Notamacropus eugenii: one gene and its partners. The protein of the gene in region 3 interacts with the protein of the main gene of each other region in a pairwise test. Links are inferred from orthologs where the notes say so. Each region holds a gene or a part of one and is shown on either strand. Other genes may lie near its edges.

Region 1 (10,462 bases), on a different chromosome or scaffold from region 3:
GGCAAATCACTTAACCTCTTTAATTCTCAAGTTCCTCTGCCATAAAAGAGGATAAAAATAACAGCCACCTCACAGGATTCTTGTGAAGAATGAATGAGAGAGCACAGATGGATCAGTGTGCAAATCTTAAAGCAATGTAAATGTTCGCTGTTACTGTTAGCATTAAATTCTCTAGTTTGTCATTCAAAGCCCTCGAGGATCTGTTTCCAATTTACACATCCAAGACAATATCACATTTTACCTCTCAGGTCCTCTAGCTGGGTAGATTCACTGAACTCAGAAGATGTCTTTGATTTCTTACCTTTATGCCACATTATAAATGTCTTACACTTAGAAGAGTGTCCCTCCCATTGCAGAATGTTGAAATCCTGCCCCTTCAAGGTCCAGCTCAAATGCTTACTGTTCCACCAGGTTTTCTTTGATCTGCCCAGTTTGTAGTTATTTCTGCTTTGTCTGAAGTCAATATATTTGTACTTTTCTAGTGTTTTCAGCATATTCACATTTTTATTATAGCTACTTATGCAGAAATCTTAGAATTCCTAGAAATATCTCTATTAACTGAACTGAATTTACCTTTGAACCTCCCCACAGGTACAGCATATAATAGTTTTAATAACTGTTTGCTGCATGAGTAAAGGAATGGACCTCCACAACCCAGAACCACTTCTGTTAAGATGGGAAATGGGACAGGCCACAGAAAAAGGCCCTTCATACCTCTGACTTTTCAAAATCAGAGTGAAATATGAAATATTTTTGAGAGCATAAATTTCAGTTCTAAACAGGGATAATTTAAAATTTATATCTGACAACCTGATACAGCAACTAAGAGGATTTTCCATTCCTTTCCTTTCCCCCCTCTCCCCTGCAAGTCCTGAAGGATCCTTTTTCCCTGTCCATTTGTATTTTTTCAGTTAGTAAGCTTTCAAAATTAATTTGTTTCTTCTACTACCCCCAACGGAGCAAACTATAAAACAAAAATAACATATCTCTAAATACACACCTGCACACTTCAGCAAAACAAACCCCTACACTAGCCACACCCAAGACGCGCACCTCTTCATTTTAGTTTGTTAGCTCTCTGTCAAGAGGCTAAAAGGCATTTCATTATCTTCTTGAACTGACTGTTTTCACTGATAAGGAGATCTAAAATCTTTCAAATTCTTTTCTCTATACTTTTATTACTGCATAAATTGTTTTGTTGGCTCTGCATCAAAACGTAAACGTCTTCTCAGTTCCCTCTGAATTTATCCATTTCATAATTTTTTTAAACATTTAAAAAATTATTCATTTAAAAATTTTTTAGACATTAAAGTTCTTTTTTGATTCCAGATTCCTCCCTAGCCTCTAGGCCTTCCCTTACTCTCTGGGAAGGCTGGCAATGATACTTGTCCTTTCTTTTCTCAGTTTATCAGGAGATCTCCCTGGGCCCGGATACCCCTATCTCCTTCCCTGGGGTAAAGCTGCCTTTCTTTTGGATCTTCATGACAAACTCTTCCCTCCAAACCCACTGCCTTGGGGTAGTTTCCTTACCTCAGTTTTTGCCAATGGTAGACAGATTTGCGAAGGGCACTCAACACAGCTCCACGAAGTTGCTTCTCTGACTGTAATGATCCTGAGAGGAGAAAGCAAAGACTGGACTTGAGGAACCAGCAAGGTGAAACCCAGCACTTAGTATGGGAATACCCTTAGCTCCTGTTTTTTCCAGCAGGGACATAAAACCCAGGAGGCTTCGAGTCTAAATCTACAGAAAAATATTACAAAAAATGAAAGACATGTTCTGTGCCATCAGAACAATGGTTTAGGCAAAGCATTATTCTTTCTCTGATAGTTCATTTTCCCTAGCTGCCCCTTGTGACATCCACCATTAATTCAGTTTTGCTTCTGGGTAAATGTGATGAGTACTGGGGACTGGGAAGACAGGATGATGGAAACTGCTTTGGTTAGGAACTTATTCATTCTTCTGCAACATGTCTTTTCAGCCCTGGGTCTGTGGAGTCTAGTGCAGTCTGCAAAGTTACTTACAAGTAGCCTCAGAAATAGCTACACATAGTCTCAAACAAACTAGAGGGATGACAATTTATTTAGCTATGTTAAATAGCTAAAATTTATTTAGCTATTTAGAGAATAGTTAAATAAATAATGAGCTGCTAGGTGGTGCAGCGGATAAAGTGCCAGGCCTGAAGTCAGGAAGACTCATCTTCCTGAGTTCAAGTCTGGTCTCAGACGCTCTACTAGTTGTGTGAACTTGGGCAAGTCACTTAACCCAATTTGTCTCAGTTCCTTATCTGTAAAATAAGCTGGAGAAAGAAATGGTAAACCACTCTAGTATCTTTGTCAAGAAAATCCTAAATGAGGTCACAAGGGTCAGACATGGTTAACAACAGCAATAAACAAAGTATAGCATATGAATGTAATGGAATATTATTGTGCTGTAAGAAATAACCAAATGGACAGTTTTAGAGGAAACTGGGAAAAGCTCTACGAATTGATGCAGAGTAATGTGGGCAAAACTAGAAAGATTTATATGACAAGAACACTGTATAGAAAAATAACTCTGAAAGACTTTAGAGTTCTGACAAAATGATAAACTGTGAGTCCAAAGAAGAAGAGATGAAACATATCACTTATCTCCTGCCAGAACTGATGGACTTAAAACGTAAATGAGATGTACATTTTTGGCTTTGGTCAATGTGGGAATCTGTTTTGCTGGACTCTGCATGGCCATCATGAGGATTTAAAAAAAAAAACTCCATAATGGAGTGTGAGGTATGGGAGAGCTAACGCTCACAAAATCAACTCATTAATTAATTAAAAGAAATAGCTGTTCATCAACACTGAGGCAAGTAACAATGTGTGGCAGATCATAACTCAAGTCTGAAATCACTGATACTTCTTTCTGCATTTGTCCTGAAGGAAAGTGTGCTGGGAAATCAAGAATGTCATAACTGTGCGAAAACACTACTGGAAGCTAGTTCAAATCTAGGTTAAGTCATGGGTGTGACAGAGGAATGTGTGTGGGTGGGATTTCATTCTTCAGTACAACCTGGGAAGGTTCAACACATTTCCTGATCATTCCTGATCCAGATCATTCTAAAGGAAGAGAGAAAGGTCTGGATATCCAGGCATCCCCTGGTATGTGATGTACAACAGAATCAAAGATGTATGATACTAGTATAGTAATGTGTTTATCAATTACCAAGTGTTCTGCACATATATTTCTCATTAGGTCTTCAGACTGAATACTTGTAATAAGTCATATGGGTATTAAATAATTCCCATTTTACAGATACATCTAACTTCTGGCTGTAAAGCGTTATTTATGACTGATTTCACCAAAGACATATTGGAAGATTAAATATCTGTCTGTAAAGTTGAATCTTTGCTCTCTGAATCAGTCCAACCTGGCTTCTTCCTTCGGCTCATCTAAGCCTTTACCTGTATCCTGGAGTTTATTTTCCAGCTCTACTGCTTTTCTGCGCAGCTCCTCAGGTTCCATAGGAAGCTTCCGACTCCAGAGGTAGTTGGTGAGTGTCTGAACTTGCTTCTCTATGTTGGGCAGAGAGCTTTCTGTGGGTCAGACATGAAAAGGGGCTATCAGTGAAATGAAAATTCCTTTCTTTTCTCTGCTTATTTTCTTGATCAAGAGAGTTGCTCACCCTGCAAGAGCCTCTGGGCTGCAGTGACCAGGGCTTGTGGCAGCTGCACTTGGGACAAATGGAGGACCCCTGGATGTTTGCGGTGGGCTCTCTTCCCCAGGAAATCCAATATATCATTCTCCTGGGACACTCTGGGACCAAGGTCGGCAAGCGTCTGAGGTCCAGAAAGAGGAAAACCGAATGAGGTTAAGTTGGCGAAGGAGGAAATCTGGGTAATAACAGCTCACTTTTTATGATACTTTAGGATTTTGAGGAATGTTTTATGTGCATTATTTCATTTGACAAAAGCTCGGCACAGCACAGACTGAGACTTCTTAAACTGCTAGTCCAGAGGCACGTTCTGGAGGATGGCAGCATGGCAAGGTAGAAGGGATCCCACACCTGTCCTTTATTACCTACAAACTCTTTGTAAAGCCAGTGGTTTGAGGTAGATATCCTCTAAGACCTCCTTCTAAATCTGCTTCAGGACAGGCATCTCCTCCAGGGATGGGGGGTTCTCTTGGCTTGGGGAGTGGGGTTGTCCCCCCAAAGGCTGGCACCTCAAACGTGAAGCCAGTGGCTTGAGGTAGATATCCTCTAAGACCTCCTTCTAAATCTGCTTCAGGACAGGCGTCTCCTCCAGGGATGGGGGGTTGTCTTGGCTTGGGGAGTGGGGTTGTCCCCCCAAAGGCTGGCACCTCAAACGTGAAGCCAGTGGCTTGAGGTAGATATCCTCTAAGACCTCCTTCTAAATCTGCTTCAGGACAGATGTCTCCTCCAGGGATGGGGGGTTCTCTTGGCTTGGGGAGTGGGGTTGTCCCCCCAAAGGCTGGCACCTCAAACGTGAAGCCAGTGGCTTGAGGTAGATATCCTCTAAGACCTCCTTCTAAATCTGCTTCAGGACAGACGTCTCCTCCAGGGATGGGGGGTTCTCTTGGGTTGGGGAGTGGGGTTCTCCCCCCAAAGGTTGATGCACAGCTGCCCAAGGATTCGGCCCACCCCACATGCTCAACAAGTGACTGCCCTGGGTCCGAGAAGGCCTCGCTGTGGGTGAGAACGCCTGGAATGAGCAGGGCTGATGGATTCTGACTGGGGGCTGCTTCTCTGGGCCCAGGAAGCCCGGACAGCCTGGATCAGACTGGGTGCAGCCGCAGGCTCTGGCCTCGTTCGGCCCCTCTGGCCTCGTACACGTGGAGAACGCATCTACATATATTTGCATATTTGATTCCCAGACTCCCACTCTCCTTTCTCTCTCCCCGCCCTCCCCCCCGCTTTCATCTTCCCTTTTTCTTTTCTATCCCATCCTCTGCCTCGCTCTTCCTGTCTCCGTCCCTCTAGGACTGTGTCGTGTGCGATCACAGACACGCGTGGGGATGGGGCGGGTGGGCTCCCCCTCAAAGGCCTTCCCGACGCGACCGAGCAAGGCTGTTTTCAGGAGCGGACCAAAGTTCTCACCCGGAACAACGGGGTTCCCGCCGGCGAGCAGCTCCACCTTCCCACCCACGGCAGCGGCCTCAGCCTTCTGGTGGCCGCCATGACTCCTGAGGCGAACCGGAAGCGGAATTGGAGACGCCCGTGACCCTCCGGGGTTACCTAACTCTTCCACATCCTCCAGAAGAGCTGGACACGTCATCAACCAATCGGGACAGGACGATGATTTCTAGGGGCCAATCGGCGGTCTCTATGTAAATTTATGGTGACGCAAGAATGTTTTCCCTGGTGAGAAGATGGACACGTGTCAGATTTAGCCAATGGGAAGAAAGCGCAGCGTGCGCGAGGGTCTCAGGGGGAGGCAGTCTTTGGCCCTGTGTCAGTTTCTTGCAGGAGTGTTTTTTTTTTTTTTTTAAAACCTCTGCGGTTACAGTATTGGTTTGTTCGTTACATTCAGGATGACGTCATCCAGCATCTCTTCTGAAGTTTTACATGAACAGATTGTATAACAAAACGGTACTCCCTTGCAAATGCTGTAGAATCACCAGAATGCTGTTTTAAAACAGTGGCCCCTGAGTCATCCTGTCCAAACCAAAAATGATTGCCTAATTAGCAAGAAAGCACGTGGTTAGTTTTAATTAGTACAAGTTAATTTGGTTTGGTTTGGGAAGGGAAAAATATTTGATAAAACTAGGTGGTCTTGTAAACATTTTACCTTTAAGACCAAATTTTAAGTGTATTTATCACAACTGAAATATAAAAAACCCTACTAGGAAAAACATTTCTCTTTAAAAAAGACTGCATATACTTTTGTTTAGAACTGGCTTTTAAATAAAATCTGGAAATCTGGATTTACATAGTTAGAAATGGTCCCAAATAGAAATTTCATGTTTCCCAAAGACTGGTCTTCATCCTATATATAAGTCTACTTAGTTTAGTATGTCCAGTGCCAAAGATTAATGTGTTAGTCTTATTTTTCAGTTCACGTTTTTGAGGCACGTTCTGAGCTGTTTTGAAACGTGAGGATTTATAAACATAACTTCAGTTACATAGTAATAAAGTTATAAATGTATAAAATCCCCACATAAAGATTAGAAAATGCACCCTTCTGTTGGTCTTTCAAGGATGGAATTTTAGTATGTTTTACTCAAATAATTCCATGCTGCAAATTTATTTCTTTTATTTTTCCACTTGGCCAATATTGTAATTGGATAGAATACTTCATCATTGTCAAATCTGGGTTTATTAACTTTTGCTTTCCAACTGAGAAAAAACATTGTTTCTATAAAACTTTTATTACTGTATCATGAGTATGCAGATCAAAGCTTTTTAATTGGCTAACTATATGAAAAGATGACCCAAGTGGATATACAGAAGCAAAGATGAGCTTCCCCTTAAAAAGAAAAAAAAAATTTTCAAGAGCACCTATGAAAAAAATGATACTAATTAAAAATATCCAGTGTGACAACAAAGAGTCTCTCAGAGGCTGTTTTTTAGAGGAAAGGTGAAGTCAGCATCTAGTTGTTAATTGGAAAAAAAGAGTAATAATAAAGAATTGAATTTGTAAAGTCTTCTCATATGCACTTATCACCTTTGAGTGTTGCAGGAATTGTGAGATAGGATGAGTCACACTTATTTTGAAAAGAGGAATCTTGAGTATAGGTAAAGTTAAGTAACTTGCCCAAGGGTTTCTTCTCTGAGGTAGGTGTTAACTTCATAGTTTAGCACTCAGTGATTTCAAATCCTCCCCTTCCTCATTTTTCTCATTGCAAAGGAGGGAGAATGCAGTTCCAGGGAGAGTTAGGAAAAAAATGGCATGTGATTGAAGGACATAGAGGAGTGTACTGAACTAAAGTGTAGGCATTGTAACTGTTAAGTAGGGATTTTAATGGAAGGCACCAACCATCCTGCTTGCAATGAAAAGTGCACCATAGGACTTTGGACTTTATTACTACCGGGACATCCTTTTGTTAGTCACTTCCATTACTGATTCAGTTTCCTCATCTGTAAAATGATGAGATTGAAAAAAATGATCTGTGAAGACCCTCTGCTTTCTTGTTTCTTGCTTCTGTTAGTGAACAAGCATGTATTAAGTGCCCAATATGTGCTAAAGACTGGGGATACAAAGGCAAAAATGGTTCCTACTCAAGGAGCTGGGGAGACAACATGTAAACCACTATGTGCCAAAAGAAGATATAAACAGAATAAATTGGAGATGATCAACAGGGGTGAAGCACTAAGGTATTAAGAGGAATTGGAAAAGCCTTCTCATAGAAGGTGGAATTTTAGCTGGAACTTGAAGGAAGTCACAGGACAGAGATGTAGAGAAGAGTATTCCACGCTTGGGGGACAACCCATGAAAATGCCTGGAGTCAGGAGACAGACTGTCTTGTGAGAAGAACATCATGGAAGGCAGTCTCACTGGATTGAGGAGTACCTGGAGGGGAGTAAGGAATAAAGAGATTGGAAAAATAGGAAAGGTCTAGGTTATGAAGGGTTTTGAAAGTCAAATAGATGATTTTATACTTGATCCTGGACAGGATAGGGAGTCAGTTTATTGAAAGAGAGAGAATGGCATGGTCATACCTGTGTTTTAGGAAGATCAATTGGATAGCTGAGTGGAGAATGGACTGGAGTGGGGAGAGACTTAAAGCAGGGAGATCATGCAGTAGGCTATGTCAATAGTCCAAGAGGGAAGTGTTAAATGCCTGTATCAAGATGGTGGCAGTGTTGGAGGACAGAAGGGGGATATATGAAAGGTGTTATGAAGGTAGAATTGACAATATTTGGCAAACAGATTAAGTATGGAGGGTTCCCTAGGATTGTGAGTGTGAATAACTGGAAGGATAGTATTATCCTTGGAGATGCAAGACTGCAGGTTAGGAGAGAGATTAGGGCTGGATAAGTAGATCTGGGAATCATCAATACAGAGATGATAATTGAATCCATGGGAGCTGATGAGATCACCAAATGAAAGTGTATAGAGTGAAAACAGAAAAGAGCCAAGGATAGAGCCTTAGGGGATACCCCTGGTTAGTGTATATAACATGGAATGAAGATCCAGCAAATGAGGTTGAAAAATAATGGTCAGGTGAGTAGGAGAACCATAAGATCACCAAGTTAGCAATATCAAGAAAAACTAGAGAGCAGAGGGTATCAAGGAGAAAAAGGGGATGGGCAGCGTCAAAGGTTGCAGAGGACTCAAGAAGGATGAAGATTGCCACCCTAGTTCTCATACTGATCTGGTACTAAGAAGAGTGGTATGGGATCTTTTCCCCACCAACATCATAGCTGGGGCAAATGAAGCAGAGAAAAAGGGCTGAGGATGGGGTAGCTATAAGATGGGCAGCTAGGTGATGCATTGAATAGAGTGCTAGGTCTGGAGTCATGAAGAGCTGAGTTCAAATCCATCCTCAGACCCTTCCTAGCTGTGTGACCTTAGGCAAGTCACTTCACCTTGTTTGCCTCAGTTTCCTCATCTATGAAATGAGCTGGAGAAGGAAATGGAAAACCACTCCAGTATCTTTGCCAAGAAAACCCCAAATGGAACCATGAGGAGTTGGATATGACTGAAACAACTGAGCAACAAAGGGAGAAAAGTCTTTGCCTAGAATAATGCAATATCTCCACGGGAAATTTTAGACCTAAATCCATGTGCCCCTGGCTCCCAGCCTGGGGCATTGTCTATTTCACTGCTCTGAGAAAAATACCCTTCTTACTTGGTCATGGATCAAAGACATACCAAGTGTATATTTAACACTAAGCACTGCACACAGTGCATAGTACGTAGTAAATGTTCAATAAATATTTATTGATGATGATGATAAAATGAGGTCTCCAAGTCTCAGGGGGTGACCTCTACATCTCTTTGCATGGAGAAGTCCGGATAGGGACTGATCAGATCCACACTCCCCTGGAAGCGGCATAACATAAACCCTCATAACATTTTACCTGCAGAAACAATTCATACTCTAGTAATTCTCCAATATTTATGCACCCATATTCTATACTATAATTAATCTTCTGAGGATCCATATTTTAAGAGGAATGTGGATAAACTAGAGAATGTTCAGAGAAGAGAAAAAAGTTTTTGACAAAGGAGTGTGAGTGTGTGTGTGTGTGTGTGTGTGTGTGTGTGTGATTAGGTGAATTAACAATCAATGGTTATTTCACAATGAATAGTGACTAACCAACTGTGTTTAGTGTTCTGAGGAACTATTCTTTGCTGAAAAGGTGAGAAGAAATGTTGAACATTATAGTTAGATATAAAGAGTTTTCCAATAGTTAAATTGGAACAAGTTTGTAAGGGAATTCTAGAAGAGTTCATATCTTCTTCCTTTGAGTCAGAACTGCTCTGCCTAAAATTAGAAGACCTCTGGAGGTTCTGCCAGCCTCAGAAGTAAGCCTCTAATTCTATTCTGCCCTAACCTTTTAGAATTGTCCCTTGTCACATACAAATTTATCATAGGGGTCAAAGGATTATAGATATCAAATTTGAAGAGACCTTAGAGGTCAATGAATCCTGTTCCCTCATTTTACAGAAGAGGAACCTGAGGCGGAGAGAGCTTAAGTGACTTATCTAGGGTCACATAGCTAGTAAGTATCTAAGGCAAGATTTGAACTCAGGTTTTCCTATCTCCAAGTCTGGCATTTTATCCAGTAAACTGCCTGAACTCTATTGGAACAACAATGGGAAAATGTAAATGGGGTTGGGAATGAAAGTTGCTTTGGAGCCTTAGAACTTGGGGAAAACATGGAGACTTCTAAACAGAACGTTCATGTCTCCTTGAATGGGATATAAGCTTTTTGAGAATAAGGAATGTTTCATTCTTTATATTTTATTCTCAGTGCTTAGGAGAGTACCAGCACATAGTAGGTGTTTGTAAATGCTAATTGACCTACAGCAAGATTTGAATATAAGGCAAGCAAGCCAGCCTAGCTGAGGCAGCAAAGAACTATGAGGGAGAGACAAGAGGTGGTATGTGTCAGGTGAGCAAAACATCCTCACTGTAACCATTACCTCCTCTCAAACTCATATGATGGCAGTCCAGGACCCTGAGTCCAAGAGCTTTTGGATTAGTAGTGATTCCTGGTTCAATGATCGAATGGCTCTGCTTTCAGCTTGGCTCCCATAGTTTCTGTGGAGAAAGGGCTGGCTATCCTTGCCAACATCATCACCAATCACTGCCTAATTGCCATTTATAGGCAGATAAGCCCAAAAATCTTGGGAATCACATCTTGCTATAGACCAGAGTTCTGCCCTTGGAGCTGTCATCCTTGGGAGCGACAGCTGTGGAGATGGGATCAACCATCTTCACTGACTGCCTCCCATAAGGTAGGCCAACTAACTGTAATAAGGCAGCCTGTGGGAGAGATGGGAGGTGATGGGAAAATGC
Region 2 (10,462 bases), on a different chromosome or scaffold from region 3:
CTCAGCAGTGTGAGTATTTCTTCTACCTGAGACGACCATCCTTTAGTCAAATTTCACCACATTGCAGCCATTCTGGTGACTGGCTCAGACAAAACAGAGTCCACCACAGGACAAAATACTCAAAAGCTTTAGCAGCTTGGTAGGACCCTTTCATGACTTACATTTCATTGGAATAGCCTTTGAGAACTCATGGTCACCTTCTCACCACAAGTAGGCATAGGAGTAGGATTTCAGCTGAGGCAAAAAAAATGTAGCAGATTTAAAAAGGGGCACCACAACAAAAGATCAAAGTCCTAATAAAAGCCTGATTAAATAAAAAATGATCCCAACTCTGAACCTGCAGGAAATGCCATATAGGCTTAACAAAATCTTCCAACCTCCTTATCATCCTATTCACCTCATCCTCAATTTTGCTATAACTCCCTATTGGAAACAATAATGTCCTCTAGCCCAATGAAAGATACCTCAATTTTGAGGGTGCGGCTGGTTCCCCTAGAGCTGTTCTATCATTCTCCTGTACACTTTAGCTCCTGGACCCCACTGCACTACACAGCAGACAACTAGTCACCACTATTTCACAAACTGAGTTCATTGGGTTACAACATGGAGGCTTAACTAACTACAGTTAAATAGATTAAAATTAGCTGGTCTCTCCCTCCAAACCCCCAAGACAGTGTAACCTTTGAATGAGACAGGAAACATAAGGGAAGAAAAATTCTTCATATCATTAGTGCTAAATCAGGTTTTTAAAAATAGTACAGTGACAGGTAATCTGAGGGGAAGGAATGTATCCCAGAGATAAAACATTTAAGAGCTAAAAGGATGGAGCTTATGAGCAAGAGAACACTTCTGCCATTATACCAGTGGAACTGCCCTTAGCAGGATGGCAGAAGCTCCACCCCAACTACCATATTCTGCATGAAGCTCCAAGGCAGGCAGGCTGTTTGGCTATCTACCTCAAAGGCTCCCCCAGAGCCTGTTCAGTAGCACAACTTGTCTGCCAGGCAACAAAGCATTAAGAATTTTTCGAAACAAATCAATGGTTCTCATCAGTTTGATCAGAATTCTCCTACAAAATACCTCCCCACAAAAACTGGGGAAAACCAGACTCAGTACTGGCATAAGAACTATAAACTTTTCTGTCTTAAAGTGAAATATCAAGCTACTTGATGAGTAAGAGCAATGTAATTATTGGATACATTTGCCTCAATACAGAAAATCAGAGTTTTACTGCACACATCAGGACAAGAACACCTTTCTTATTTCTCTTAGCCTGAAGTCTTTGCTCACTCCCAGTTTATCTGGTTTATAGTCTGATATTAAGGCAGTCCTTAAGGCATAACCCATCCAGTGGCCTGAGGCTCCATTCCCACCCTAGATCTCATGTATCAGTCACTTTTTCTAAGTAAGAATAACAGCCCCAAATGGCCAGAAGCCCTAACGAATCTGTTAACAGATCTTGGGATCATATATCTAGAGTTGGAAGGGGTCATAAAGGTCAAATAATCCACCACCCCTCTCATTTCACAGATGAAGAAACTGGATCCAAAGAGGTTAAATGGTTGCCCAAGGAATTCAGGTAATGTCAGGTGGAATTTGAACTCAGGTCCTCAGCCACCAGAGCCAGGGGCCTCTTTCCCTATGTACTATGTTGTCTCACCCTTTTAACCCCGAAGTGACCTACTGATAAAATCTACAATGTATACAGGCAAGAGAAAACAAAAGGAATCATGCACCCTGTATTTCCCAGGGAGTCTGACAAGTTTATTCTCAACTCTCAAAGAAAAGCACAGGCAAATGGGGGCAGTAACCTGGAGGGAAGGGAAGGTGCTACACAAGAAGAAAGACAAAAGCTATAGTGACATCAGTAAAATTGTTTTAAATAAAGAAAAATAAAAGTTCTTTATTCTTTAGAAAACCTTAAGTATTGTTGCTTTATTCTCTGTAAACAGACAGCACAGGTGGCAGAAGCAGCCATGTGGCACAGAGGGCTGCACTAACTTCAGAGACTTAGTGGCCTGACCTAGTTGTGTGACCCAGGGCAAGTCCCTTAACTTCTCTGGGACAGTTTTCTCACCAGTAAAAAGGGGATAATACAACAGTACCAATCTCCCAGGGTGGTAGAGATGAACCAATGAGAAAACATATCTAAATGCTCTGTAAACATAACAAGTCTTTGCTATTGTTATTATTATATGCCTTCAACAGTATCCAAGGTTCCCCTAGAAACTGAAAGTGCCAACTTAAAGATGAACAGATAAATGGGCTCCCTCCCCACAAGGGTGGATAAAACTTTAAATTCAAATTCCGAGCTTTGTTCTGCTTCCAGCTATAGTTTAAGAAATCCTCAGAAATTCTACAAAAGATCTCAGAAAGAACAAGACTCCCTAAACTGACTAACAGGGAAGAAAGAAGAAAGGGGAAGGAGAATAATGGTATTCTACACATAATATAAATACTCGAGCAACCAATAATTTAACAAAGTGAACTGAAATTAAGATGGATGTCCAGCAATGAGCACTGGATCTGGAATCCGGAGGCCCAAGTTCAAATCCCAGCTCTGCCACTCATTAACTGTCACTTTGGGTAAATCTCTTCACCTTTTCTGGGTCTCAGATTTCTTATCTCTAAAATAGAGGATGGAATGGTTTGATTCTCTAAAGCTCCCAAATCTATGACTATCCAGGGCTCTAAAACCATTAGATCCCTTCAGTTTCTGATTCAGGTCTTCGATGAGTTCTTTTGACGCAAAGGTCTGGCTTTAAAATCTACGCTCCTGTGCTCGTGAGACCCAGAAAAGGCGACTTGGCCAAGGATCTTCCCCCAGCTCTGGGCTTCCATACAGACTTCTTAATACTTCTCTTGACATGGCACATCCTTGTGCCCTGACCCCTGCCTTCGGCTAGATTGTCTTACTGAATTTTTTTTTTTCAAATGAAACGAGGTTGCAGGACAGCTACAGGACAAGAGGAAAGCTAGGTTTGGAGATGGAGGATTTGGGTTCAAATTCCAGCTGGGCCACCTGGGCTGTGTGATTCAGATTCCTCATTTGTAAATGAGGGAGGTGGAACTAGATGACTTCTGCGGTCCCTACCAGCTTCGCAATCCAAAATCCAATGGATACTCAAGTGCACGGAGACCAGGGTACATCCTCCCTACATCAGCGGCCCCGCCCCACTCTTCCAAGTATCCCATTCAAATCCCAGTCCAACTCCCTACAGGAGGAAGCCACAGCTCCGAACGGCAGCACCAGTTACCTCGTTTGAATTCCTCCAGGACGGCATCCAGCTTGGTGTCGTTGAAGACGAAGTGGAGGGGGTGATTGTAGAATCGGATGATGGTGCTGAGCGGGGTGCAGTCCTCCGGGTCCACGAAGGCCAAGTCCTTGAGATAGAGCATGTCCACGATGTTGGAGCGCTCTTCCTCGTACACGGGGATGCGGGTGTAGCCGCTCTGCATGATGGTGGACATGACGCCGAAGTCCAGGACGGCCGAAGAGTCCAGCATGAAACAATCTTTGAGCGGGGTGAGCACGTCCTCCACCGTTTTGCACCGCAGGGCCCCCTTGCTGAACTCCTCCCTCACGAACTCATTGTAGGGGTCAGTGCCCCGGGCCAGATCCACCACGCGCTCCCGCAGCCGCCCGCCTTCCGGGCGCAGGGCCAGCTCCAAGAGCTTGCCCACGGGCAAGGCCACGGGGAAAGTGAGCAGGACGGCCAGGCGGGTGAGCCCCAGCGCGCGCGGGGCCAGGCTCAGGCCCCATCGGCCGCTGACGGCCGCGGGCGCCACCTCGCCCACCAGGTAGACGAGGCCCGCGCTGCCCAGCACGGCGGGCACAGCTCTTTGGCCCACGGCACGGTAGAGGAGCACGGCGAGCGCAGCCTGGGCCAGACTGGCCAGCAGCAGTAGGGCGCACAGGGCGAAGCTGCCCCAGCGCCGCAGGGGCTCCAGGCGCCGCGCCGCCGCCCGCTCCGCCTCCGAGCCGCTCTCGCGCAGCACCTGCACTTCAGCCGGCTCCAGCGCCAGGGCGCTCAGCTGCAGCCCCCGGGCCAGCGCCGCCAGCCCCAGCAGCGCGGCCGCCAGCAGGCCCAGCGCCCAGGGCAGCAGGGGCTCCTCCTCCACGGCCAGCGAGTCCCCCTCGGCCGCGGGCGTCCAGCTCCCCTGGGGCCCCCCGCGGCTGCACAAGCGGTAGCGCGCGCCCCCCGCGGGCCCGCCGGGCTCCACGCGCACCGCGAGCAGCGCCGAGTGAGGCCGCACGGCTTCGGGGTTCACGCTCAGGGGCGCGCCCGCGCCCCCGTGCGCGCCCCCCTGCTCCGGCTCCCCTCCCCCCTCTGGGCAGCCCTCGCCCGCGGGAGCGAAGGCCACCCAGGGCCACGAGCGGTTGGCGAAGCCGGAGCCGAAGAGCCGCAAGCGGAAGGCGGCCCCGGGCGCGGCCCGGACCACCCGGCCCCGGGCCCACACTGGACCCTCGGCCCCGTCTCCGTCCTCTTCCAAGCAAAAGCCCAGCACGCGCGGGCCTGACGCTTCCCCCCCAGCGGCGCAGCCCAAGCACAGCGCGGCGAGCACCCAGCGTAGGCCGCCTGTCGCCGCTGCTGCCGCCGCCGCCGCCATCACCAGCCACCCCCCTCTAGGCCGCCCGCGCAACCTACTCCAGGGTCCCCGCCTCCCTCCGGCCAGTCAACGCGCCCATCCGCGCCCCTCTGGCCAATAGGAAACGGAGGGGGGCGGAGCGTCAGGAGTAGTACTAGGCTGCGCCGCGTTGTAAACAAGATGGGGGCGGGTGACCTGAGGGGGGCGGGGCACGTGGTGGAGTTTGGTTTTAAAGAGGTGACATGCTCCGTCTGACCCCTTGGGAACTGGGTTGGGTAGTGGGGGCGGGAGGCGGGGGAAAGGTGCCAGTTGAATCTATTGAGTTAATTTAATTTAATGTTTTTACATTTTAGGCTCCTTATTTTAGTTGGTTTTTTTTTAATGCAGAAGCACAGCATTACATCTCCCATCTCCACGCGTTTGCACAGGCTGTCCATCACTTACGCCTAAAATTCTCTCTCTCATCACTGCTTAAGGTCCTCTCAAAGCTTAATTTCAAGTGCCCCTACCTATTGGAGACCGACCTTTCCTGACTCCCCCAATTATCAGCTGGTGAGCCGTTTCAGTCGTGTCCGACTTCGATACTGCAGTGCTTTGCCGTTTCCTTCTTCCGCCCATTTCAGAAATTTGAACTTGGTCTTTCTGGCTCAAGCCAGGCGCTCCATCCACTGCAACGTGCAGCTGCCCACCTTCCTGCTGGAGATCTCCCCTGATTCCGTTATTAGTGTTCTCACTCCTCGCCCCAACCAACCAATCCCAACCCTAGTTATATTCCTTTGGTATATGTGTTATATTTACTTATCGGTGGGTGAGCTCCTTGAGGACAGAGGCTTTTTGTTGTGTCGTTATTATCTGCTCCGGTACTTGATGAAGGTTTATTGAATTGAGCATCGACTAGGAGTATTTTTGTCCATTGACTCACAAGAGGCCAAGCCGTGGCGGTCCTAGAACTGGGAAAGCCCCGCAAAACAGGTTTTTGTTCTCATGGAGCAAGTTGACCAACTATTGGGTACCTGAAACCCAACACCTCCCGAAGTCCTCTCTTCAAAGAACTTTAACAACTTCTAAAGGCACACACTGATTGAGAAGTACTACTGGGTTCTATAAGGTTATAGGTTTATAGCTGGAAAGGACCTTAGGGGTCATTGAATCCAACCAACTAAGGCTGACGTTGTTGCCCTGTGTCATAGTTAATAAGTATAAGGCAGGATTCAAATTCTTCTTCCTCCCAATTAAATTCCAAATCAATAAATCTGTATTAACTATCTTAGGTGCAAGGCACTGAGGATGCAAAAAAAAAAAAAATTTTTTTTTTTATATGCCTGAGTGCTTGTCCTCATGGAACTTACATTCTACCTTTTAGAGTCTGCTTGCCCTCTTTGGTCTTTGGTTTTCTTGTTTGTGAAATTAGATTGAACCAGACAGGCTCCTAGGTCTCTTCTGCCTCAAACCATGCAAGCATTCCTGTATTTTGTTTTGTGTTAAACTTCAATCCCAGGGAGAAGCAATCCCAGGAAGAGATCCTGAAAAATCAACAGAGTACAATCAAGGTCAGGTTCACTAGCTCAAGAGATCATTTGATTTTATTTTTTTCTATGTTGCTTGGCAATTATTAGTTAGGAATCATGGAATACAAGACAGAACCCTGGATTTGGATCCAGGAAAACTGGGTTGAGATTCCTCAGCTCAGCTACTTAATAGCTGTATGACTCTAGGCAAGTTCCTTAGCCTCTGTGAAATTCCGTTTCTTCGTTTGTAACACTACCCCCCTCCTAGGATTGCTATGAAGAGTAGGTTTTATAAGAGTAAAATGCCATATAAATGTGAATAATGATGAAACTGCTCTGGTAATGCTGCTGAAATGGTCGATGGATTTAGGGGACTCCTAGCTTAAGGTGTGTGTTCTGGACAGGACAACCATTAGATTAGAAACCCTTGGTGGCTGAGAGGGTGTAGTGGGAAACTCAAGCTGGATAACTTTTACAGGAATGTATTTTGAGGAGAAAAAATTGCTTGATTGTTTTGTTGGGAAATGTTTGTTAACTGTTAAAATATAAAATTTTTTTTTTTTTAAATATGACCAAACTGGAGAAGATAGAAAAGTTCTGCTGGCCAAAAAGAACTTTAATTGCCACAACTGACTGACCATTGTGAGTAGACACAGATTCTGGATTTTTACTCACTGCTCTGTATGTCTGGAACGGGGTACATACTACAGGACATTCTCAGTTACACTTCTTGATCCTGGTCAAACAAATGAGATGTCTGGGGCCAGTGCTGAAGGGACTCCTGGAAAATCTTGAATGGACCTTTAGTCCTTCTTCCCATCTTATGATGGCAAGGAGATAGGATGCTGAATCAGTTCAAAGAAGAACCTGCTTCCTGTCAGCTCTCCTTGCCTTGACTCTCCTGCAGGGGAAGTAATGAGCTCACTCACTCTCTTAACTCCCAATGAGTTGTGTGGAGATGGGATATGTGCTTTCCCCTACTCCCACAAGAAGAATGGATTCTATTAAGAAAGCTTGCATCTGGACCTATGGCTGATTTGTGTTTCCCTTTCTGAACAGGTAATTATCAACCTTAAGGTGGAGGTATAAAGGCTTGGAGTCAACTTTTAAGACCAAGAGGTCCAAAAGGACTGGGTTTATTGAGTGAAACTGCCTGGTTGCAAGGGGGTTTTCTTTGTCATAGAAGACAAGACCATCATTGGCTCCATTTTACCAGATGTTATACTGGGAGTTGTTTGGACAGTTGAGAGCTCCTGTGAAATGTAAAGTGTCTAATATGAAGCCAGACCTGCAAACTATTTTATGTTGTGATGAGGTTTAAGTATCAGCCTCCCAGAAGACTGTTAATGGCAGTTATTGCAAAACACTGTTCTAAATTGCTCTGTCAGTGTGAGCTATCTTTTGTGTTTTATTTGTCTTGTGTGTAGGCATACCTGCATCTCTGATTCATGATACACACTGAATAACTTTCTACTGCCCCTTTTTGGAGAAACATCAGCTATGAGCCAAAACCTAAGCTAAGTCATACTGGATTACTAGGGTTAAGATTTGAGCTGAAGAATGAGAAATGAGAGCATAGCTCCACTCTCATTAGAGGGTGGGCTACCAGGACTGAACAGGTCCAGACCATGTACATATGTCCATAGTACATGGACCTCGTAATGAAGAAGGGAATGGGCAAAGGACACCAGCCCCTGTGGACCCAGAAGCAGTTTCTTATTGTTAGAGAAGTAATTTTCTCCTTAAAAGAGGAGCTATAAAAGAGTATTAGGTACTTAATAAATGTTAATAATTAAGTTATTATTAATAAATACTTATCCATTGATTTAAGATTATCTGATATTACTAGGAATTAACAAACTTGGAAAACATTTAAAATATATCCAAAGACTTTAAAGAATCCAGCAGGTTTTCAGTGGTGGTAATGTACCCAGTCCATTCCTAACTTTTTCCCCTTACACTGGCTTCTAGATGTGTCTCTTTGTATGACCCCAGCACTAAGCCAGACATTAACCAATCCCTCGGGCCTGGACTGTGGCCCATTTGTGTCCTTCTGGTTTTCCTTAATTATAGTCTCCACCCCTTCTTATAGTATCTTAATAACAATGGACATTTATAGGCTCAAGGCACCACAGGCATTACTATCCTCATTTTATAGATGAGGAAACTGAGGCCCAGAAGAAGTTATGTGACTTGCCAGGGGATATACAACTTGTACAATTGTCTAAAGTAGAACTCAAAACCAAATATGAACTTCTTTCCTTATACCATAATTCCTTATTCAAAAAGATATGGTCGTGGAATCATATTTAGAGCTGGAAGGTCAAGCCCCTACACTTTATAGGTGAGGGAACTGAGAACCAAAGAAGGGAAATGACTTAGCCAAGGCCAAGTGGAGTAGATGACAGAACCACAGTTAAAACCCAGGTCCTCTAGCTCCAAATCCAGAACCATATTGCCTTGAACTTAGTTTCATGGGTCAGCATCTTCCGTTTTGTAAACTCCTATGCCAAAAGACCAGACTGTTGAAAAGACTTTGATGGAATGTTAGAACTGCAAAGGACCCTACAGATCTTCTATTGCTGTTCAGTCGTTTCAGTTGTGCCTGACTCATCATGACCCTATTTGGGGTTTTCTTGACAAAGATACTGGAGTGGTTTGCCATTTCCTTCTCCAGCTCATTTTATAGATGAGGAAACTAAGGCAAACAGTAAAGTTAAGTGACTTGCCCAGGGTCACACAGTTAGTGTCTGAGGCCAGATTTGAACTCAGAAAAATTAGTCTTCTTGACTACAAGCCTGGCACTCTATCCACTGTACTACCAGCTGCCCCAGAAATGTTCTAGTACAACCCATTCATCTTACAACTGAGGAAACTGAAGCCCAGAATGGGGACTCAAAATCAGATCTTCTGACTCCAAGTCCATGCCAATGACAGTATATCATTGGTCTCCTCTCCATCTTGAATACATTTCTGTTTCCAAACATTATGTTAATACATAATTATCCAACAGATCCAGAATACCTGTCCTGTCACTGGGAAGACAATTACTAAAATAATCTGTCTGCTCTTCTGAGATTGTTTGTCCCCTGTTCAGAAGGATTTCAAACTCACTGAGATTTATACACATTTCATTTTTATTACCAATCAAAAATAAATTCCATATCTCATTTAGCAAATATTATCCGCTTTGTGACAAAAGACACAGACTCAAAATGAAACAGCAAAACTCCCCGAGAGTCAAACTTATAACAATGGCCAAAAAAAAAAAAAAATCACAAAAATATACAAATCAAAATCTCGCACAAAATAAATAGGAGTTATTTGCAATCTTGGATATGACCTGTCTATTGCATTTGAATGCTGTCTACAAAGGTTGCTTTCAGTTTGTGGGAAGAAGCAGAGATAGGACAATTCCAGTATGTAATTCAGGCCCAGGAATAAAGCACACAAAGGAGGTGAGGCCAGGTCGTGGGAAGTTGGAAAGTTCCTCCTTCCTCCACTGGAAGGAGAAAGTTTTTGGACCAGAAACATTTGGGAATGCTGCCTGACCATCAGCAGGAATATATTGTCCAGAAGTTGGGAGAAGGGAGCATCTATTGGCAGTAACCATAAGTTTAAAAAGAGGTAGGTGTGGAAGTGTGTGTGATCTGCCTCGTTTTATTCAACACACATCCATTTGGTTCAGACCAATGAATTTTGCTTACCCTGGCTATACCATTGGATTCCCTTGCACTCTAACAGGTCTCGAAAGAATTCAAGCCTTGACATCTCCTGGCTGAGGACAGTCACAGATGCCCTGGAGAATTAAGGTGGAATTTCCCTACAAAAGGCCTGGTGACTGACAATCCATGGAGGTCATGACTCTAGCAGGAGAGATGTGAACAATGCAAACTATGGAAAACCATGCCCCTTTTGTTTTCAGATGACCAAAAAAGGGACAGGAATATGTGACACAAGGTATTTCTTGGTCCCATGAGATGGGATTCTTTAGGCATCTGGAGAACAGAGCACGTGAGGGTAGAACTCTGTTGGTTGGGAAAAGGAATAAATAAATAAATAACATCTCAAAGAAGCCATTTCTACTCTCCACATGGTTCTTGGGCCCCAGCTCTTCTGTCCTCCTGAACAATAGGCAATGAGCAACTTGGTCCCAATGCATCCTCAATAAGGAGATCTAAAGTTCTAGGACAGGGCCAAAAAAGAAGAGACCTGCAGAGAGCTTCTGGCAAAGACTTGAGCTTCCAGGGCTACAGTACCATTAATGACATCCACAGAATTCAGGATGACTGTCTTAGAGCAGGACTATCCAGACAGGGCAGGGTGCTTTGTAGATGGAACAGTTCCCTCCCTGAAGGAAATGT
Region 3 (10,462 bases):
GTTCCACAACCCTATTTGTGGCTTTTTGGCAAAAATACTGGAGCTTTTTGCCATTTCCTTCTCCAGCTCATTTTACAGATAAGGAAACTGAGGTAAAATAGGGTTAAAATAATTTGCACAGGGTCACACAAGTTAAGTAAGTGTTTGAGGACAGATTTGAACACAGGTCTTCTTGAGCTAGCTCCTCCTCAATGGAAGTCTTCAAAAGCTTGTAGAGATTAGCTGACTGACCATTTTTAGAGAGGTTATAGAGGGGATTTTATTCAAGCATGGTTTAAACTTTTTTAGGCTAAATTTTAAAAGTTGCTTATCTGCTTTGTTAGAGAGTTACTTCATTGGGAGTTACCATACAAGGAAATTACAGATCCCAATTAAAAGAAAAAAACACTTTGGACTAGATGACCCCTGAGGTTCCCTTCCACATCTGAGATTCTATATTTATGTAATGGGGAGATGTTGCATTCCCCATTAGATGTAAACCCTTTGAGGGCAGAGACCACAAATAGTTTTTCATCTTTTCATTCTCAGTTCAAATCATACCACACATGCTTAATACATATCCATTAAACTGAATAAAATTGAATTGCAGAACTAGAAAGATGGAAAACTCCAAAGGAAAAACCAAAGATGGTACCAGTTTTCACTCTGGATAGGGAGAGACAGAGACAGATACAGAGAGAGTGAGTGAGGGAGAGAGAGAGTGAAAGTGAGAGAGACACACACAGAGAGAGACAGAGACAGAGACAGAGAGAGAGTGAGGGAGTTAGAGATCCTCCCTTAACATAGATCTTTAAATGTAACTTGGCTCCAGGTGCAACAACCAAGTCTATACATTAGCAGAAGAAAAAATTTGCTGCCATGTGAAGGATAATCGGCAATAAACAGCATGTGCTCATAAATCCCAGGAAGACAAATTTGATTGCAGGGTGTGTTTTTTCATAGTTACAACAGAAGCAGACAGAGGATAAAGGAGATGTCATATATCGTACTTTTAGTTAAGCATTTGACACAGAATCTCTTGAAATCTTACTCCAAACATTTATTTAAATTGGCACAGATATGAGTACTGTCAGGGGGCTCCACGTGTCTGAAGGACAGACACAAACAAAGGGTAATGAGAAATGAAAATGTGTCAGGAAGCAGCCTAGGAGGGGAGAATCTGTTGTGTTCATTCCAATTTTATTTAGAATCTTCATTAAGGATCTAGGAGTAAACAATACCTTAATGAAATTCTCAGAGCCTCCTCCAACTGGGAAATGTTGCAAATACCAGGGAGAACTGAAACTGCTGTCTACAAAGGGAACTCACAGGTCAGGCTTCCAGGCAAGAAATAACAATGACAGCTTGGAAAAAAACACTGCAAGTCAATGCACTGGGGGGAAATAAATCAGGAACACAAATATTTAATGTGAGAAAGAAAAAGTGGAAATCAATAAAGCCTGAATAGACCTAGAGGTGATAACAAATAGCAAACTGTGTGAATTTGCAATGTAATAGAGGAGAAAGAAAAGATCTGATGGGCTGGAGACCCAGAGGCGCTTGTATAGTGAAATGGAGCACTGTAAATCCTGTTGACAAAATAGTGGACACTCCTACCCTCCTAAAGCTCCCTAGGCAGACCATAGATCTAAAGTTGGACAGGACCTCGGAGGCCATTTTGTCTAGCCCCTGCATTTCCCAGGTGAAAAAATTGAGATTCAGGCAAATTATTAATTTGTCTGAGGCCAAAAAGGCAATAAAAGCAGAGAGAGGATTTGAACTCTGATCCTCATACTTGAAAGCTGGAGTTTTTTCCACCCTGATATACTGGCTTCCTGACATCTTGGAAGCACTCTGGAGCAGAGTAAGAGTGACTAGGAAAGAGAAAAGATTATTTTAGTTGTGGAATTACAACCAGACAGAAAGAAGAGACCTTAAAGTTGGGGTTGGGGGGCAGTGGGTTTTCGATGTACAGATAAAGTAAATGAGCCTATATCTGTGTTTTAGTTGACATCATTAAAGTACACTAATAGTCATTATTTGGCATTATGTATGTGAGGCAGCTAGGTGGCTCAGTGGATAGAACACTGGATCTGCAGTAAGGAAGACCCGAGTTCGAATCCAACTTCAGTATTTACTAGCTATGTGACCTTGACATCACTTAACCACTGTTTACGTAGAAGCCAGCTAATGACCCAGTGGATAGAGCCTTGGGCCTGGAATCAGAAACACCTGCATTCAGATCTGGCCTCAGACATTTACTAGTTGTGTGATGACCTTGGGCAAGTCACTTAAACTCTGTTTGCCTTAGTCTACTGGAAAAGGAAATGGTAAATCAAAACAGTATATTTGCCAAGAAAACCCCGTGGACAGCACTGATGTGATATGGTCCATGAGATCATGAAGAGTTGGACACAACTCTTGTTCATAGGGTTGGTTTGTTTTCACCAGAACTCTGTAGGAGTAAGCCCCTTTACCAATAAAGATACAGATACCTGCTCTGCACTTTTGGTCTTCTTAGAGAATTTCTTGGGGATACTGAGGTGTTAAATGATTTGCCTACAGCCATTCAGGCAAGATGTGTCAGAGATGAGTCTGAACACAGATCTCAAGACCAAGTCTTTATTTTCTTATCATACTAGGCTGCCTCCCAATGCACTGTGAATGAATTAAATAAAATGACAATATGTAAAACAGCATAGAGGAGATTGGTACCAAACCTCTAACAACAAAAATATATATGTATACATATATGTATATATATATATATATACATATATATACACACATAATTCAATTAAATCAGCATTTATTGTCAGCTATGTACAAGTCAACTGTGTGAATTGCTGGGAATAAAAAAATTAAAGGTAAAAATAGCCCCATACCTCAGGGAGCTGACATTTTTACTGGGGGTAGGAGAGGGAGGAGAAGGAAGGGTAAACAATATTTGAACAGATGAATAAATATAATATACTTTTAGGTGGCAAAGATACATGCTAATGACTAGGAGAATCAGAAAAGAAGTGTCATCTGAGCTGATCTATATCTGGGACAGTTAAAAAAAAACTAGGACCTGAGTTTGAGTCCTAGACTCTGCAACCTGTGTGACCTTAGGCAAGTCACCAACCCTGGGCCTGAGTTTCTTATCTGGTTGAATAAGATGACCTCTAAGGATCTCTTCTAGTTCTAAATCTATGACTCTGTGATGTATGTACACAAGAAAGTGTGGTTCTTCAAAAAGCTATATTCTATTTATCTTACAAAATAAGTTCTTTCTCTCCCCTCAAAAAATTCCTAGCTCCTCATTTAGCCCAGTTCTTTCATTTTACAGATGGGGAGCTGTAAGGCTCTGATAAGACCTGATGTGCCCAAAGCCACAGAACTAGTTATTGATGAAACCAGGGCCAGAAATTCTACTCTTATCTTTGTTTGATGCATCAGGCAATTTTTTTGCTTAATACAACACAGTAGTAGTTCAAAGCACTTTGGAAAAGAGTAACCTCTCTTTTCTAGGAGTATTCCTTACACAGCAAGAGGACAGATTGTCTCCAATTTCTTGAAAGACATGTCACAGGAACAGAATATCTAATCCCCAGGATACTAACCCTCAGCCAATGCCAATGAGCCCTTGGGAAGATGTTATCCATCTTCATTACACATCACCAGAAAGCATTCTATGCATCCCATGCCTAATCTTCCATAGACCCCTCCATTGTGCAGAGGAAGAATGAATACTCCCCTCCTCCAAAGCACAGAATCAAGTTTGGTAAATATTCCCTCCCCCAACACACTGCCCACCTCCTATTCTTCTGTCTGTCTAACCATCTACTATATCCTTCATCAGCCTTGGGTCCTTACTTTCTATGAATTGACTGCCAAGTCACAGACATAGCTACCATCAAGGATAGATCTTTCAGGGAAAAATTCTTCTAAATCACATCATTTCCCTTTCTTTCCTCTCCTGGTTTTCCATATCTTGTATTTTTATCACTTGTCCATAAGTTTTTTGGTGTGTATGTGTGTGTGTGTGTGTGTGTGTGTGTGTGTGTGTGTGTGTGTGTGTGTGTGTGTGTATGGCAAGGGGAGGTTTACCAGACCTGAGGGAACATTCTCTACTAATGCAGATCAACAACTTCAGAAAGCTGATCTCCTGAGGACACTAGAAAGTTAAATGACTTACCCAGGATCACACAATTGATTTGTGTCAGAAGCTGAACTAGAATCCATCTTTCTGACTCTGAGACTGTCTCTCTGTTAATCACACCATGCTGCCTCTCAAAATATTAATGCACAGACCTAATGGGGCGGATAGACAGAATCCCAAAAGAAAGAGCTACCAACAGTAATAGATTCTTCCAGGAGCTGCTGGCCACCTCTATGTCCACCCACACCACCATGCCAACACAAAACAAACCAAAAAACTACCAGTATTTAAGTCCTAAACATAAACCTTCCCATACTCATACAACCATTATGTTATTATTCCACCACCAGAAGCAGCATCTTCTCATAAGGAGATACAGATTTAATTCTAGTTAATCAGTATGGCATGAAATTGGTAGAAAATGATCTGTTCAACGTAAGGCTGTAAATATATTTTGAATCAGAGTGTCCTGAATTGCCAATGCTCTCTTGGCATCTTGTGCAATCCATCTGGTCACCCTCGCCCCAAGTTGTTACAATTTCTTCTACTAAGAGAAAGAATTTCAATCATTTTCCTCCCATTCTCTGTTTTCCTTCTGAAAACTCTTTTGGGGAGGGTCAGCTTTCAAAATCGCTCTCTGATCACTAATAAGCTGTTTTCACCCCGGTCATTCCTATATGAAGCATTTTAGGCTTTACCTTTACTTTTGACTCCTTCATTCCACATTTCAGGCTGAGTGACTGAAGTGTGCAAACAAGGTGGAGGGCAATGAATAGGGCAGCCCCCATTGTGACATAGCAACAGGAGACAATCCAAACCTCTGGTAGCATCTACTAGCAACCAAATGAAAAGCGATTTGGTAAATCGGAAACCAGGTACTGAAAGCTACTATCATACCTCTGGCCAGCTCCATAGGCTTTGTTCTCCCTGCTGATGCCAGAAAATTTGTAACCCCCATCTTCTTCATCTTTGGTAAGTAGGCATAGAGGTAATGACAGTTGTTTTGACTGGTCAAAATGATGGTCCCTTTAACATTACTTAGACTAAGCACCAGTTTGATCCCCTCCCCTCAAGTCTTAGGTAAGTGTTTTGAAATGGTGGACCATTTCATAGAATGATTAGAAATTTTAGTGCTGGCAGGAGGCTATAAAGAAAGATCATCTTTATAGCCAATGAAACATGACCCTGTCTAACAGCAGAATAGTGATGGACTCTGGGAAAGAAATAAGGCTGTGCTCTCTACGGAGGGATGTTGCATGGATTTTTACTCAGTTGTACTTCTTTGTTACAAGGGAGGTTTATAATGAGGGGGTGTCATTAAGATAGAACAGTAATGTTTTAAAAATGTTCAATAAAACATATATTTTTAAAACAAAAATTATCCAGTCCAGGAGTTTCCAAACTTTTTTTGATTGCACTCTTGTTTTCGTAGAAACAAATTTCTGTGCATGTCTCCATAGTTACCCATTTATAAATTATGCTACTACATGATAGTTACTATACTGATAATTATATACACTAGTCAGATCATCAGAAAGCATTTATTAATCACTTACTGGGGATACAAATAAAAGCAAAAATAATCCTGTTCCCAAGGAGTTCACATTCTTATGTGGAAGGCAGCATGTACATATATGTGTACAAAGAAGTCATACACAGAGTAAGTATGAGATGATCTTCGAGGGGAAGATACAACTGAGAGGACCAGGAAAGGTCTCCTGCAGAAGGTGGGAGTTGTCCTGAACCTTGAAAAAGTCAAGATTTAGAGGTGAGGAAGGTGAGAACACTCTAGGCATAAGGGTCAACCATCTAATACAAGGAGTAGTTAGAGATGAAGTATTTGTGTTTGAGTAGATCAATATAGCTAGGTCATAGAACAGGGAATGAATTAAGTGTAAAAAGACTAGAAATGGAGGAAGGAGCCAGGTAATGAAGAGCTTTAAATGTCAAAGGATTTTATATTTGATCCTACAGATAATAGGGAGCCAGTTGAGTTTAATGAGGGGAAGAAGGGGAAACACACACAGGCTGACCTAGAAGCTTTGGGAAAAACACTTTGGGAAATGAACTGATGATGGGTAGGGCTAAGAAGTGACTACAGACAAGGAGACTAATTAGAAGCCTATTGCCATAATCCAGGCAAATTGATGAGAGCCTAAATATAGGGTGATAGCTGTATGAATGGGAGAAAAAAGGAATATATGAGATGTTGTTGCAAGGGTAAAAACAAGATTTGGCAATGGATTCATATGTGGGTGAGTGAGAGGCCAGGATATAACTAGGGAAGTGATCTTAGGGGACTGGTGGGTGGGGGTGGGGATGAGACAGATAAAATAACATTTGATCCTAAAATCAATAGGAAGCCACTGGAGTTAATGAAGAATAAGGAAGTGACCTGCACTTTAAGAAAAAGTCACTTTGGTTGCTATGTTAGGGATTTATTAAAGAGGGGATAGACCTGAGGCAAAGAGATCAAATTAGGAAGCTATTACTTTAGTTTAGGTGAGAGGCTATGAGGCGTAGAACTAAGGTAATGGTTGTATGGGTAGGCAGAAAAGGAAGAATACAAGAGACATTGGGGAGGTAAACATGGCGGGACTTCCATATGGGGTGAGAGAGAGTGAGGATAAATCAATAACACCAGGGTTGAGAGCCTGAGTGACTAATGGGTAAAATTGTGTGCTCAACAGAAATGGGAAAATTCAGAAAACAGGTGGGTTGGGAGGAGGGTCGTGAAGGGGAAAAGGTAATGAATTCCCTTTTGGATATGTTGACTTTGAAATGCCTATGGTATATATATATATATATATATACATATATATAAAACATATATATTTATATATATAACATATATATTTATATATATATACATCATAAGCACTTATGATGTGAGACTGGAATTCAGGAGAAAGATTATGACTGGATATACACACACACACACACATATACACACACACACACATCATCCACATCAAGAAAAGGTAATACTTACTGTTGGGGGATGTGATATAAACAAGTAAAGGAAATTAAGGAGTGGTCAGAGAGATAGGAGAACCAAGAGAGCAGTGTTAGGAAAGAAGAAAGAATAAGTACCCAGGAGAGAGGTGGTAAACACAGTCACAGAGGTCAGAGAAGGATGAGAATTGAGAAAAGACCATTGGATCTTGCAATTAAAAGATTGCTGGTAACTTTGAACAGAACAGTTTCAATTGAATAAGAAGTTAAGGTTAAGATGGAGGTTGAGAACCTGGGTAACAAAGCATTATGGTACCCTCCCCAGAAATAAGGAAGTTCAAAAAAGGAGTGCATTGGGAGTAAAAGATAATTTCATTTTAATCCATCTGTATCTGTTCATTCTATGCTACTCACTCCTTCCCAAAGAAAAATGAAAAGTTTGTGCAAGGTTGATGGCATATAGTTACTTTTCCCCGGAGCTCAAAGACTGCAGTAGTCACCATCCAGAGGATATTGGGTGAAGTTAGTGAGGGGTAAGGAATGATGGAGTTTTGCCAACACAGATGCTGCCTGGTGCCTAGATCAGAAGTTGGGTCATGAAGGACCAACACATTTCCATATAACCAATGTGCAAGGGAGTGAGTAAAGTTACACAGAAGTGTTAGAGGAAGTGGTTGAGTTGTCTTAGAGACAAGACCTACCATTGGCTGGTGGGGAGGGGAGACAAGAATGGGACCCATCTTCTCAATGGATAAATGATCAATCAATTCATCTATTAGGGCCAAGTCACAACCCCCGTGGGGTCATTCTAATGTCCTCACTTTGAAGACAACGGATCTGAACTAGCTACCTCATTTTACAGATGATGAAGCTCAGAAAAGAAAAGATTTAGTTCCTTCCCCAAGGTTACAAAGCTAAGTAGTGGCAGAGAGAACTAGGGCTGAAATCCCAATATTCTGATGATATTTGACATTATTTTCATGATGACACACAATAATTTTGGGAAAGAAATAAGCCTATCTTTAACTAAAAATCACATACTGTATTTTTCTTCGATATGTCAATCATAGGTGGAACCAAAAAGCTTCTCAAATCTGGCACCTCCCCCTATACCACATGCCCCTCTGAATTTTAATTTGGCCAAGAGAGATACTCAGTGGAACAAGTATGATATACTTTTTCTTCCATATCCACGCTCAAACCTCAGTTACCCATAGAAAAAAAGAATAGTTATTTTGCTTCTTTGCTTACCATACACCCTCAATTATTTATGCCCAAAGGAAGGAAATCTGAGTGCAAAAGAACATGCAACATCACTCTACCTCATCCTCTAGACCATGGCTTCAAATAAATATATGGTTTAGAACAGCATTTCCTAAAATTATTCAACCATGGACCACTTTGAGGCATGAACTACATGAATTCAAACCTTAAAGGCTGATCCAGGAGATGGGGGGGGGAGATGGAATACCCACTCACCCCCAGGAAAAAAGACAGAGCTTGGGGAAAGTTGGATGTTAGAGGGGAATAAGATTATTTTTAACTCACTATATAGAATGTTTTTAATATACTTAATTTTATATTTCATATTTCAGCATTGAAATTTTCTTAAATCACTCTACTGGTTCCCATTAGTCAGAACACCAGGGTTCTGTGAGTACATGATTTGGAAAATGCCATTAGACCTATTTGTTCCCTATGCCTATGTTATATTTTGGAGCAGCTATCTTGATAACTACATGTTTATGTTTCAAATAACCTCTTTTTTCAAAATAAAAGATAAAATCATACCAAAGTGAAATTCAAGGTGCAGGATCTTCGCACAAGCTTGTCTCCAAAGCACTCAAGACATTCTAGAGGTGACATCACAAAAGATTACCACACATTCTCAGGGCACATTGTTTTCCTCAGCGTCACACAGACTCAAATATGGCATTTCAGTTTAGTGATGGGCAGACAAGTAAATTATCCTAGGACATCTTTGTCTTACAGAGTTCAACAGAGCAGTATGACACATAATGAACCCCAACAAATGGCCCCCTGGTTTGGTCATCTCTGCTGCCAGTCACACTTGACAAAGGACAATTTTCTCCCTCTGACCAGGTGAGTTTAAGGCTATCTCATACATCTAAAGCTTATTTATTATGTGGGGATCTTATTCATGTTGTTTGTGGGTAGTTAGCTCAGGAGGGATCCCAAATCTAACTCAGCCAGGAGAAAGATAAAATACAAAAGTCTAACATCCAAAACAATAAATTGAAAAAAAAATTTGAGTATAACAAACATCCTCATCACACTATTAGGCAACTGGGCTTTGTGACAAAGCCCCAGGCTTTCCAGATTTTTATTCCTTCATCTCCCTCCTCAGTTAATCAGTCTGAAAGAGGAGCAAACCATCCCATTTAAGCTCTTTAGTTGTTAGGTTACTTAATCACAGAATCACAGAAATTCAGAGCCAGAAAGGATGCGGAGTTGTCTCGTCTCAACTCCAGGAAGACCTAGGGGAAGACTTCCCGCCTCATAACCACAAAGAGAGCACAATCAGGATAAATAAGACTCCCGGGGTTTTCATATGACTAATTCCCTTGCTCGCTAGGCGGATGTCAAATCAAATCCAGGGAAAATTGAGTCTTACATATTATTAGGGCTGGCCTTAGATCCTGCAGCTCATTCAGAGCTCATTCTTCTTGGTTATTTTTAGAGACAAGCAAACTGAGTCATTTGAGGGGTATCCAAACCTCAGTATGGGCATATCTAATCATTCATCACCTATGTTACTTTCCCTACTGGGAATCAGATATCCCAGCACTCAGATGCCCAGCTCTTGTCTTACACCTAATAAAGCCCCTATTAATCTTCATACTAACATCCTCATCACTCATCTATTTTCTGTAAGCAAGCCCTGCTAAATTCTGTAGGGCCTGACACTGAGCATTGAACTAGATGTGCCTAGCAGGTATAAATCTAGACAGACAGGAATGACTGAAGCAAAAGGCAAGATGTCAATTCATTCCAGAGGCACCACACTTCACCCTCAGCCTGGGATGAAAGGATTAAGACACACACAAAAATATCCAACCTTGTTTATGATTAGGTGGGAACATGTCAGAGGATTAGGCTCCCTCCATGGAAGGATTGCCAAAGATTGCCAGAAGCCCCAGTAAATACTCATAGCAACTTATAACCAATTCTCTGGAGATAAGATGTAGAATTAGTTGGTGACCTTTTTCTTCCTTTACTTTGTGAATAAAGTGTTGAATCAATTGTAATAGTAACTTATTTGCAATCTAATGCAATGAAAAAGACCCTTCATCAGACCAGACAAGGTACCTGGGCTTTAGTCCACTTTCTCTCATTAACTCACTTAGTGACCATAGCTAAGCA

What was found.
Region 1: the proteins of CBY2 (region 3) and METTL17 interact in binary tests that used the Homo sapiens proteins (3 or more experiments, as listed by UniProt). The link is inferred for Notamacropus eugenii from reciprocal best matches to the Homo sapiens genes CBY2 and METTL17.
Region 2: the proteins of CBY2 (region 3) and CNNM3 interact in binary tests that used the Homo sapiens proteins (3 or more experiments, as listed by UniProt). The two-hybrid records come from large-scale screens. The link is inferred for Notamacropus eugenii from reciprocal best matches to the Homo sapiens genes CBY2 and CNNM3.

The regions. Positions count from the first base shown.
Region 1 is NC_092878.1:12,956,624-12,967,085, forward strand, and holds the start of METTL17 (ribosome assembly protein METTL17, mitochondrial), read right to left. Parts: upstream 5,228-10,462; 5' UTR 5,172-5,227; coding exon 5,091-5,171; intron 3,811-5,090; coding exon 3,657-3,810; intron 3,568-3,656; coding exon 3,436-3,567; intron 1,613-3,435; coding exon 1,531-1,612; intron 1-1,530. UniProt on the Homo sapiens protein: Mitochondrial ribosome (mitoribosome) assembly factor. Binds at the interface of the head and body domains of the mitochondrial small ribosomal subunit (mt-SSU), occluding the mRNA channel and preventing compaction of the head domain towards the body.
Region 2 is NC_092872.1:523,503,182-523,513,643, forward strand, and holds the start of CNNM3 (metal transporter CNNM3), read right to left. Parts: upstream 4,639-10,462; 5' UTR 4,612-4,638; coding exon 3,258-4,611; intron 1-3,257. UniProt on the Homo sapiens protein: Probable metal transporter.
Region 3 is NC_092877.1:296,275,339-296,285,800, reverse strand, and holds the start of CBY2 (protein chibby homolog 2), read right to left. Parts: upstream 4,927-10,462; 5' UTR 4,912-4,926; coding exon 4,822-4,911; intron 1-4,821.